Daphnia pulex: one gene and its partners. The protein of the gene in region 3 purifies or fractionates together with the protein of the main gene of each other region. This does not show direct contact. Links are inferred from orthologs where the notes say so. Each region holds a gene or a part of one and is shown on either strand. Other genes may lie near its edges.

Region 1 (4,128 bases), on a different chromosome or scaffold from region 3:
GAAAAATTCCAATCAAAATTACCAATATGTACGATGAATCCAGGGGGGTAGGTCTTCATTGTCAAGAAAGGATATTCGAGGACTTCAAGGTTCCTAGTAACATCAGTATTGAGATATGCGCTAGTAGGTGGAGCAGGAACTGATGTCTGACGGTGAGTCGTCGGACGACAGTTGGATGCAATTACGCCTCCCCCTGATGAACCGAAGCTATCGGATAAACTGGAAGCTGCGAAGGAGTTTAATTGAATTCAAGAATTTTTACGGATGAAATTCAAATGATTATCTCTAAACCTTTTGGAGTTGTGTTGATTTCAGATTCTGAAGAGCGTCGACAGGGAGAAGGTCGTGAAGGAGTCATTCCATGTACGACCACTGGAGTGGTGATGGCAGCAGTACTATGTAATGGTTTAACGACATCGACTGGCGAAATGGCTGCACAACGAGGAGATCTAGTTGGGTAGGGACAAATAGGTTGCATTTCAGGCAAAGGTGGGTGAGTGGTTGCATTCAACGCTACGTTAGAAGACAGATCGTCTTTGCTATCGACTAATCGTAGTAATGACAACGGTGTTTCAATCGAGCGTTCGTTTTGTTGCTCCTGTTTTAAAGGGAAATAATTCAGAGAGATTTCAGAGCTGCTTGAGCAGCTGTCTTCAGGAGCATTAACACGAAAAAAGGAGCACGATTCCTGGGATCCTGACAAGGCTAAGTCGTCGTCAGTCCACCCTCGCAAGTCTTTCTTGAATTTGAATTCGTTGATATCTGGTGAATGGTTAATGACAGGTAAAAGTGTTTTGCTAATAGGACTGTTCTCTTGTGAATCAGAAACGGAGTCTCCGTGATTTTCCAGGATAGGTGACATCTCGCAAATAAGCGAGCGTGAGCGAATTCGGGATTGAGGACTACTTTTGGTGGAATCGTCATCACATGGAACTGACAAAGTATTTGGCGACGCAGTTTCGCGCGGTCTACCAACTTTCCCTTTAATCCCAGATTTGGCAAACAAATTGCTGAGAGAGAGCTTTCGTTTCGCGGGGGTCTTCACAATGCCAACACAGCCTTCGAGCACTTTAGCTACGGAAATGGAAGCCTGAAGTTTGATTGGCAATTGGTTGGTGTCTTCATGCATTGGTAATGACTGTAGCCTATAAAAGCGTGGCACAGGAGTTTTCGTAGGTAAGCATTCGTGATCGTCTAACTGGAGAAGGGGTTCGCTCTGATGCAAACGAGGCCGAGTGCTATCATTTCTATCGGTGATGATTGTGAGGAAGACAAACCACAAATCGACGAAAGCGATCACACAAAGTTAGTTACATAGCAATAGGTGTGCAAATCATTGACGATTGTCCAAACCAAAATGAAGAGGAGAATACCCGATTGAATGGAAGAGATATTGAAATTATAGATTAGCGTGAAAGTGGAATTAATTTGTGAGGTTATTTGGGCCAAGGTGTAACTTACTCTCGGCCACTACTTCCATGGTGCTGTTCTTTGAACCAGGTAACTGCTGCGTTTCCATCGAAATGGCACCTAGCTAGTGTTACGGCTGTCCCTATCCCGCGTACCACTAGCCCAGTTACTCCTTCAAGATCAAACATTTGCTGGTATCTAGATTGTAAAGTAATTACGATCGATGAATATACCTGGGAATTTTGGCAAGGAGAAATAGAAGACACATTAACTTACCCAACTACAGCATTTCCGCCAAGCTCTAATACTTTTAATCCGATTTTACGACGTACTTCCCCCGAAAGTTGAGAGAACAATGTTTGTCTGGCTTCATTTGACGCTCTTGGTGTCCGAATTTTGTCTATCCATTGATATTCTGGGTCATCATTAACAACAAGTTCTTTAACAAACCCTTGAATAGACTGAATTTTAAAACCGTGAGGTGTTGACGGAGCTGCAAAGAGAAGTGAATGTTAAATTTAAAAAAAAACTCCTTGTAAATCTACAAAGAAAAATTGCTTACTACTGAAAAATTGAACACCACATGAACTTTGCCGAAACTTGTTAACATCAGAAAATAATTCAACCTTGACTATGACTGACACTTCCCCTCTCATTCCATGCATTGTATCATACACTGGAAGCCAACCTGATAATACATGCCCTCCTGTTGAAAAAGAATAGTTGAATCAATCAACAAAACTGCATGAGCATAACAAAATTCATACCTGAACTCGGGACAGAGCAAGCTTCCGATCTGATACCTCTGATACCTGAAATGCCAGGTGTGACCAGAAGTGGATTTAAATCTAAGTATACTTTTCCTATGGCATCATTTGCAGAGTATGTATCGTAATCCATTAATCTTATTTGAAGTGGTTCATCTTGAAGTTCTGCATCGTCAACCTAAGAAAGAAAATGATTCTTTAGCCTGATATTCAAAATGTGTTGAAACATCAAATATTTACCTCAAAGATAAACCATTCTGAATTCCATTGAGGATTTAGAGATTTTCGAAAAACATCTGTCTTTTGGGTTATGCTACCTAATTTTATCTCAACATAAGCGTCCGTAGTGTCACTTGAACGATCCATTACAGGAAGGTTCCTTCCAGCAAGAATTTTCACTTTAACTTTTCCCGGCATGATTTATTGATTTGCTATTGGATTCACCGATTCACGTTGAGCTACAAAATTCACCAATAGCTTTTTACAATAAGTTGAATAAATCTGTTTGACTAAATAGACATTGTAACTTAAAAAATGTCAATGTGGAGCCATAAGTCTCTCGTTCTATAATAGCTAACACTTTATTAAATGTTCAATATCAAGTCATCAAACCATCCTTTGCTCAGAGCCTCAGACCCTAAAAAAAAAAACTGAAAATTGTCGTCTGCTTTTGCTATGAAAACATTGATAAAACGAAGAAGCGTAATAAGGGAAAACGTGGGAAAAAGGGCTGCGGAATGTAAAAAGACACTGCGGGAAAAGGCCAAGCTTATCATTAAAATTCAAATAGAAAGACCATATGATTTTATTACTGTGATGCACTATAATGTAAAGGCAGTCACGTGAAATTTACGTGGAATTTCGTTTTCTTATTCTTTAATAGATATGCACTAATAAAGGTTTTACATAATATTAAACTTGCTCGAATATAAAAAATTGTCAAGCATGTGTATGACATGTGCGGATGTGCCTTAATACCAACGAAATCGAATTTTAAATTTTAAAAGAACCTTTTGTGGCTTTTTACCCTTGGAATAATAATCCTGCAGTCGCGAAATTTTTAAAGTATCTTTTAAAAACTTAGCAAAAATTTGTTTGTCTTGACAAAAGATTCCTTTTCGCGTGCGCTTCTAAGCTAAAACTTCCAAGCACAAATATATATTGTTGCTATCATAAAAAAATGAATAGGACTATAAGTTTTTGCTGTAAATTTGATCAACTTAGTAATTTGAAAGTTTTACAAACAGTATTCGACTTGACAATCGTGTATTTTACTAGGACATAACATATACTAATTATGTTCAGTGAGGGGGGCAGAATTCGAATTTGATTTAGTGACATTTCGAATTTTAAACATTTTTATAGTACATATTTTATAATACCAAATTTATTTGAACTTCATTCAAAGTGGCAGCTGATTTTTGAAGTTGACTGCGTTCACCTTCAGTTAAAGTTTGTTGGATGACATCAGTAATGCCGTTTTCACCAACCACACATGGGACGGACAGAAAAACGGGTTGTTCAACTCCATGGATTCCCTATTTGAATAAATCATTATAGAAATAGCTGTATAGCGTAACCCTTACCACAATAGTAATAAAATTAAGTACCTGGACAAAAGTTGAGACCGCGAAGACGTTGCGGGAATTTTTCAAAATGGCTTTTGTGAGAATAGAAACACTCAAACCAATTGCCCATGAGGTGTAACCCTTTAGTCGGATAATTTCATATGCACTAAAAGTGAACACTAAAATTACTCACACAATTAAATATGATTGTTTTGTTAAATAGCAACCTCTGGACGACTTGTGTGTGAATTTGACCCCAATTTTCAGTATCTGCATCAGTTCCAGCGGCCGGATTGAGATCCCTCAGTCGAACACCAGCAACGTTAACACCAGACCAAACAGGAACTGAAAAGATGATCCAATATGTAGAAAGAAGAAGTCAG
Region 2 (3,956 bases), on a different chromosome or scaffold from region 3:
TGGGGAAGAAGATGTTGACAGACATGTGGTTGTCTATAAAAAAGAATTTACTCCAGGCCCAGATGAATTAAATGCTTACAGAAAGGGTATACCATGGAATCCAGATTCAGTCAAACAGGTATATTTCAAAGCTATTATTATTCTGAGTGAACTAATAAGGAATTGATCTTTTGTAGAATCCCGAACCTGAAGATGAGGAGGACGAGCAACCAGCTTCAAAAAGTGACAGTACAGTATCGTCAGCTCAATATGTTAACAAATACGATCGGTTAATCGGTAATTTAAATTAAGCACAACAAAACGCCCTACGTACTAAATTTTGACATCTACTAGGTAAAGAAGCAGTAAAAGATGCTGTTAAAGTTACTCAGGTAAATCGAAAATACGGTTTTGTTTCATCCGAGAACAAAAAAGATCAACGCTCCATCGAGCAAACATTGGCCGACATTCGTGCCAAAAAAAGGCAGAAGACGGAGTAACTTCACCAAGAGGATTTCTCCAACATCCGCATGTGAATATTAGTTTACCATTCGAATTATGTATTGTATTGGACTGCAATTCAATTTGACTAACCACAATCCTCTAAAATGTACGCGCAAGTACAATGTGTTCACGGTAAAGAAAAAAAGAATCGATAAAAAAGGAATTTGCTCGATATAAAAAATATTCTAGAATCATTTTGTTTGGGGATACAAAATTTAAGTCTTACAATTAAAAATCAAAATAACTTATAGATGTTTTATACTTGAAGGTAAATCGGTAAAATAGTAATGCGCCATCGCGTCATCTGCAGAAATCCGAAGAGCAGGATTGCACAGTAATAATTTCTATGGAATTCAAAAGGGAAGTCAGAAAAAAGTTGAGAAATATCAAAATTATAGTCAATACCTGAAGTAAATCTCTGCCTTTGGGACTCATTTTTGGAACAACTTGCGCGAAGCTACTTGTTGGTTGATAGATGGGTAATGGCTTGTAGTCTGGCAGTTGAGATATACCAGGCCAAACTTCTTCGTTTGGAGTTCCTATCGATTAATTTAATTATTAAATAATTGCCCTCCGTAAACCACTTTAGAATTCCGTACCAAGTAACTTGAATATCCGTTTGAGTTGGTCATCAATATCGCTTCCAGGAAAAAGGGGTCGCCCCGCGTTGGCAAGTTCTAAAAAGAATGAGAGATGTAATACTGATCACGAAATTGAATAGGACAGCAAACGTTACCAGCAAATATGCAGCCCGCAGACCACATATCAATGGAAGTAGTATACAGCTTGGCACCAAATAAAACATCGGGAGGTCTATACCACTGATTTTTACAAATTGTTAGATATGTTTGTAATTTTTAGAATTCAAATTATTATGTATATTACCAGTGTAACAACCTCAGCCGAATAACAACGGACAGGAATACCAAATGCTCTTGCTAAGCCGAAATCTGCAAGCTTCAGCTCACCGTTCTAAAAATAAATTGATTGTAAGTGAACGCAAATTTTTAAATACTCATCCTAAAAAAAAGGGTTAATATCATCTGGGTAAGCTAAAAATGCCCCAAAACTTAAACATTACCTTATTAATCAACAAGTTTTGAGGTTTGAGATCTCTGTGCAAAACATTTTTACTGTGGCAGAATGCAAGACCTCTTAAAAGTTGATACCTTCAGACAAAGGAGAAAATTAATTAACAGCAAATTTTTTGTGCACAAAATGGATGTCTTACATCAGTGATTGGACTTGCTCACTGTCTATCTCCCCATTCAAGCTATCAAAGTATTTCTTCAAATCCTGGTCACAGTGCTCAAATACTAGGGTTAACTTTGTATCACTGTGGAGGACATCATGTAATCGAACCTGTTGGTTATTTAGAAATGTGCTTAGTATAGAAAGTGTACAGAATTGTGCTAATGAAAGAAAAACTCTCACTATATTACGGTGCTTAAGTTCTTTCAATAAGCATATTTCTCTTAAGGCACTTGATGGAACCCCCTATGCCAGAAAAATGAAATAAAATGAAAAGTGCTTGGTGTGATTGATCAATAATATAAAGTGACATACCTCATCATCATCATCCTATTATTGAATTTTTCAAATAAAAATGGTTAGTTTAAAATAATCATATATAAAGAAATGTGTTATATACTTACAAGCCTGACACGTTTCAGAGCCACAATTTCCTGATTTTCTCTATTTTTGGCCTTAAACACAGTACCATATGTTCCTATTGAAATGTAAGAAAGTGATGGAGATTAATTCCTTGCTAATTTCACTACACACATGTGAAACGTCTGTATGCTTTTAATCCTCAGTGTCGGTTGGAAAACAAACATGTACGGGAAAATTACCTTCGCCAATTTTTTCTAATTTTTCATACTTCTGCATTATAGAACAATAAATCCCGTTGATTCTCGGGAAACTCTTAATCAACTTAAAACAAAATTAAAACACTCTCGCAGTCGCACTCACAAAGCGTTTTTGTTTTTGTTTTTTTATTGTTATGGCAGACGCCGGCAGGATCAATCTTGACAGTTTCTATTGAGACTTGCAATTTCCAACGCTAGATGGCGAAAGATTTTCGTCTGCAATATTACGTCTGCTCATGTTGTCACTTTTTCTTTTCAAGTGGTCAGTTCAAATTTGTTCTCAGTTTCGTTACTTTTGCACTAATTAAATAAAAAAGTTACAAAAGTTCAATTAAAATTCTTCTAAATCTAATGTTTATGAACTGTGTTGGACGATTGGCATCCTTAAGCCGTTTTTTCTTCTTCAAGGATTTTAAATTTTACATTTTGCAAAATCAATGTGTGCGATGGGTGAAGTAGCTGAAATAGCTAGGAAAGTTCTCCTTCCCCCCGTCAAAGTTATCAACGAACGAAGCCACTTCGAAAAAGGATTTCAACGTGAATGGTCAAGTAAAGTCGATGACGCCGTATGTGAATTACAAAAGCTAGTTCTGAATGGTACCTCCGTAACAAAAGAAGAGTGGACCAAAAACAATCTAGCTTTATTGTCATTACTCATCCTGTGCGGTGAGCACAGTATTTGTTCTGAATGGAGTACTCAGAAATCAGTTGATAATGTGAAAGATCTCCTTAACCTTTTGCTCTCCAAGCTTCACCTCCAAAATATTCAGGATATATTTGCCATGGACGGTGTTGCTTATTCCACTCTTCAACAGCTTAAACCGAAGCTAGGGAAAAACCAAATCAAAGAAAACCCTGCAGCAGTCAGTTGTTTTGTTTGGATTATCAGCAATACTATGGTATCAAAAATTCAAATGAAAGTTATTAAACCTTAAACTTTCACAATTCATTTTTTTAGCTGCCTTCTATTGATGAATCGGTAGATTTTGCTGTGCCTGTTTCTTTAGTGTTATTCGATGATTGGGAACCAGATTACCAGAAGAAAGGCCTAGAGTGTCTTCATCATATATTAAGTGTATGGATAAAAGAAATGTCTTCCAATTTCGGCTAGTGTTGCTAATAATGCCCTTGTCATTTGCACAGCTCAACCCAAAATCTCTGCTCCAACGAGGATGGTTTGCAGTCATATTTAGTGCTTTAAAGAAAAACGTTGAATTCGATGACAAGTTAAATTTGTACAAGTGCCTCGACATCTGCCTCAAAGCTCAGAACTTGGATCCAGATGATCCGTCTCAGTGGAATCAAGTTAGCTATTTTCTCGAGTTATTTAAAGTGGCAAAAGATTTATAACCAATTTTTTAGGATGACCAATACGATTCACTCGCCAGCGATGTGTTAAAATCCATGATAATTCAAGATTCACCATCTGCCACGTCCTGCAATCTAAATATTTTAATATTAATTTTCCATTCTATGAAAATCAAAATGGCAAAGTTTCTTCCGTCAATAATTTCTGTATTGGACAACTACGTCACTGTTGGTGTTTCGCCCGAAATTCACGTTTTATCAGCTGAGGTACACAATTTTAGTTTCATCGTTTAT
Region 3 (3,773 bases):
AGTTGTGCTGTTAAGTTCGTTTTGTATTGCGGCAATTGGATTACCTTTAAGTAAATAAAGTAAGTGGTATTTTTACTTTACCTATCTAATTCACTTTGCTTTACTTAATCTAGATAAGTAACTAAGCGGGAATAAGCCCGAGCATACCGTAAAAATATAGTTGTTTTTGGTTATAGTATAGTAAAGTATAATGAAGTATGGTTTGATGCTTTATTATACTTTATTATACCCACCCAAAACCCCTGTATTTCCTCGCTACGCTCGGGCTCATTCCCGCTTAGTTACTTTTCTAGATTAAGTAAAGTAAAGTGAATTAGATAAGTAAAGTAAAGTAAGAAGTTGGTCGGGTAAAATAGACTTTTACCCAAGTGTGATCCAAAAAAATGTTCTCCATCCGGTCTATGACAAAACAAAATGGAATAAGGTTGGGCAATAAGTTAATGTAATGGCAGTTATGGCTGGTAAGGAGGGTTTATTTCGCTTACTGAAATCAGAAATTTTTAACTTACAAGTCCATGTTGAATCTGAGCCAGAGATTCAAGCAACAGTTTATTCTATCATGCACCTTTTGCTAATTGGTAGGCCTATACACAATTTTTTTCAAAAAGGTTTAATTTGCAAGTAACAAGTTGTTAACGTGGAGTCGGAACGTGTTCTTTCAATTCTAAAGTGTTGTGATATCGTCTGCTCTAGACCTCTAGTTGCCAGATGGAAAAAAAAATTTGTTGAGATTTGAGAAAAATGAGAATAATAAGTTTTTTTTTCTTTAAAATCCTTATGGTCACGCACCACGAGGAAAAAGTCAGGAAAAAGCCGTAAAACTCGAAAAATTTCAATTCACAATTCTCTATTAAAGAGGTTCGTCTGCTTTAAATAAAGAAAGTCTGGCAACATCTAATTTGCATATTTATTTCAAATTTACTTTTATAAAATATTAAATGTAATATTTTTACAGAGAACACTGTATGAATCTGGCTAACTTAATTTTTAGTTTCTTGACATGAATCCAGTTAACCAGTAGGAGGAAAAATAATTCACATGACCTAGAATAAAGGTCTAGTAAATGAGTAATAACTGGAAGGATATAAATTTGATTTCCCAGTAAAACTCATGTGCTTGAATCACGTAATCAGTAATCGCGAATTAGTCCGGATTCCGGAAATGAAATTTTGTTTTGCTTAAATTTCAAAATTTGATCCGCCTAGCGGCGATATCGAACACCGTCTATGAAAGTATCGATCGTAGCTTTGCCTTTGGCTATCTGACCGTAGTCTGCTTGCTATTCATTGTTGTTTTCAGATTGTTGTTTCTATTTGTCTGTCTAAATCCCTTTACGGCACAATTTTCATTGAGCACTTCCGATTACGTTAACATGGAATGCAGCGTTGACGTATTTGTAGGCAATTCCACTATAATCGACCCTGAAATATGTAGCAACTAAAAACATTATCAAATTGAAAATCCCAACCATATAATTGGATATATTATTTCTAGATCAACTCTGGGTCGACGGCAATTCCTCTCACGAGGCCGCCGACATTTTACAGCAAAGAGGAATACTTCAGCAATGGGGGGCTAATATGGATCTCCTGATGTCAGATGTACTAGACCATTATCGAACATTTCACATGCTGGAAAAGACACTTCACACTCCACTCAAATTAACTGCCGCTGGAGAGTGGACATTTCAAATGGAGGCAGACACTCAGCAATTGCTCATTGAAAAGTATATCTAGATGGTTAGTCAATTCCATTATCAATTTCACTTGCAATTTATTCTCATTTTTAATCATTAGATATTACGAATTGGATGATGTAGTTGTAAGGGAGGTCCTGGGGAAGAAGCTCTCCTCAAGACATCGGAAAGATTTGGATGAGGTGAGCCATTAAAAATGATAAGAGAAGGTTGAAAGCCTGTTCATTGCGGTGTGTGTGGTAAAATGTAATGTGATTTCTAAATGTTTCCTAGGTTTCTGAAAAAACAGCAATATCTCTAAGGTACAACAAGTTAATAGGTCAGTACCTCTGTTATTAAATCATCGTCAATGGATTGATTTCCTCAGGTCTTGCAGGAGGCAATTTGACAATGTCAAGCGTATCCACAAGCTTGTCGAAGAGATGCCAGGTCACATAGTGCACAATATCCAACATAACTTTCTTCTCTCTGCTGAACTGTCGAAGTAAGTTTCCCCGTCTGTCTTTAGACCGTTGTCGTTATTAAAATTGCATGATTCATCGGACGAAATGCCTGTCGTTTTTCTAGGAAATATGCTGCAGTGGTCTTTGTGGCCGTCAACCGTTTCGAAACCAACAAAAGAAAACTTCAGTACTTGAATTTTGGAGATTTCTACCATTGTGCTCATCAGATGATCGTTCACTGGTCCTCGACTGCTTCGTGTCACGCGACTTTAGTTAGGAATCAGTTGGAAACGGAAACGGAAATCGAAACGGATCTCGATGTCGACAGGGGATTCCTGCACGACCTGAGAGAGGTGCGCATACTCCTCGACAAAGAAAAAGAGCACAAGCATCTCGTTTGCTCTCAGCTCAAGGTGATAATCTCCCGTGTTCATTCGGTTTCATGTCAGGACGTGTGAAACTAACCATTCCATCCGCTTAAGGGACGGCTGACGGATAAGATTTACGCCGACATGGAATCCTCTTTCAAGACGCATTCACGTTCACTCGTGTCCTTGGCCGGCAATCTCAATAGATCGAGAGAACTGCGATCCCTCTTTGTGGACTTGGTGGAGCGCTGCGTCGAGCCTCTGAGGCAGGCCAGGTGGACATCAAGGGATTTGAGACTGTTCCTCGACTACTACACACCAGCCGGAGTTCAATTGTTTAAAAGGTAAAGTATCTTGTTACGAATGTTTGGTCAGAATGTCAAATGTAATTTTTTTTCGTTTAACTCATTCTTTCCACTATTTTTGCTGCCCTGATGCACAGCGATTCGGCGACAGCTCTCGTATGGGAGCGCTACATGAAAGTCATTTCCAGCTGCCTAGTCAAAATCTACCACAACTAGTTCGTGTGTCGAATCAGATGCTTTAATACCTTCATTACCTACCGTCTCCTGCGACCCGGAAAATGCCCCTTGTTATTTCCACTCCGTTTTATCGTGTGTCCACACGGGCAATTCTGAAGCAGGTGTTATACGTACGAGAATTATCCGCTTAACTCTGTAAATAAACTTTTGGAAATTGTCAAAACATCCGTATAGATAGATAGAAACTTGTATTGCTTGTAACTGACTAGGTCGGGTATTATATACAAATGTGAAACGATTCGTAAAGCAAAGTGTATGTGTGTGGGAGTACGGAAAGTTTGAAACAAAAAAATCGGGGAACGAGAGTGTTAAATAACCGAGTTGGTGTAATAATGTTAATTAGTTTGATCGATAAGGGGCGAGGTTTTTCTTTTTACTAAACATACCCGTCAAATGTAATTTGTTATTATTATGTTTAACTTTTTTTTTGTGCGGGTTACTCTTTTTTTTTAATATGTAAATTTGCGCTCGTCTATCGTTGTTGCGACATGTCCTCCGCTTCTTGACGAGGCGGGAACAAGTGCTCTGGCGAGATTTAAAAAAACAAACGAAAAAGGGAATCATGTTTTTTCTTTTTGCTTTCGTTTTGGCAAGGGAAATCGTTTTAACGTGTCGATTTGCAAAGGAATTGCGCAGTGTGTCTTTCCACTGGGCATTCGACTTGGTGATCATCAAGTCAAAGACAGAGGAGGAGGAGGACAACGAGTTCGTCGCTGAGGTAAAA

Evidence for each region.
Region 1: the proteins of acidic fibroblast growth factor intracellular-binding protein B-like (region 3) and C2 domain-containing protein 5-like purify together in Homo sapiens (affinity purification with mass spectrometry; 3 studies listed by BioGRID and IntAct, counting the BioPlex papers as one, with this or other methods). This does not show direct contact. The link is inferred for Daphnia pulex from reciprocal best matches to the Homo sapiens genes FIBP and C2CD5.
Region 2: the proteins of acidic fibroblast growth factor intracellular-binding protein B-like (region 3) and cyclin-dependent-like kinase 5 purify together in Homo sapiens (affinity purification with mass spectrometry; 7 studies listed by BioGRID and IntAct, counting the BioPlex papers as one, with this or other methods). This does not show direct contact. The link is inferred for Daphnia pulex from reciprocal best matches to the Homo sapiens genes FIBP and CDK5.

Annotation. Positions count from the first base shown.
Region 1 is NC_060019.1:9,641,127-9,645,254, reverse strand, and holds the start of C2 domain-containing protein 5-like, read right to left. Parts: upstream 2,864-4,128; 5' UTR 2,595-2,863; coding exon 2,418-2,594; intron 2,356-2,417; coding exon 2,178-2,355; intron 2,117-2,177; coding exon 1,973-2,116; intron 1,904-1,972; coding exon 1,687-1,903; intron 1,609-1,686; coding exon 1,462-1,608; intron 1,248-1,461; coding exon 292-1,247; intron 227-291; coding exon 23-226; intron 1-22. Other genes in the region: L-lactate dehydrogenase-like, read right to left, coding at 3,551-3,715, 3,788-3,911, 3,973-4,090. UniProt on the Homo sapiens protein: Required for insulin-stimulated glucose transport and glucose transporter SLC2A4/GLUT4 translocation from intracellular glucose storage vesicle (GSV) to the plasma membrane (PM) in adipocytes.
Region 2 is NC_060026.1:15,917,813-15,921,768, reverse strand, and holds cyclin-dependent-like kinase 5, read right to left. Parts: upstream 2,517-3,956; 5' UTR 2,374-2,516; coding exon 2,337-2,373; intron 2,213-2,336; coding exon 2,139-2,212; intron 2,065-2,138; coding exon 2,050-2,064; intron 1,981-2,049; coding exon 1,918-1,980; intron 1,846-1,917; coding exon 1,715-1,845; intron 1,653-1,714; coding exon 1,565-1,652; intron 1,456-1,564; coding exon 1,369-1,455; intron 1,305-1,368; coding exon 1,220-1,304; intron 1,161-1,219; coding exon 1,083-1,160; intron 1,023-1,082; coding exon 889-1,022; intron 828-888; coding exon 729-827; 3' UTR 523-728; downstream 1-522. Other genes in the region: sperm-associated antigen 7 homolog, read left to right, coding at 1-118, 177-276, 334-479. UniProt on the Homo sapiens protein: Proline-directed serine/threonine-protein kinase essential for neuronal cell cycle arrest and differentiation and may be involved in apoptotic cell death in neuronal diseases by triggering abortive cell cycle re-entry. Interacts with D1 and D3-type G1 cyclins.
Region 3 is NC_060018.1:27,997-31,769, forward strand, and holds acidic fibroblast growth factor intracellular-binding protein B-like, read left to right. Parts: upstream 1-1,253; 5' UTR 1,254-1,372; coding exon 1,373-1,430; intron 1,431-1,494; coding exon 1,495-1,726; intron 1,727-1,796; coding exon 1,797-1,878; intron 1,879-1,969; coding exon 1,970-1,998; intron 1,999-2,063; coding exon 2,064-2,180; intron 2,181-2,263; coding exon 2,264-2,552; intron 2,553-2,621; coding exon 2,622-2,851; intron 2,852-2,949; coding exon 2,950-3,028; 3' UTR 3,029-3,212; downstream 3,213-3,773. UniProt on the Homo sapiens protein: May be involved in mitogenic function of FGF1. May mediate with IER2 FGF-signaling in the establishment of laterality in the embryo.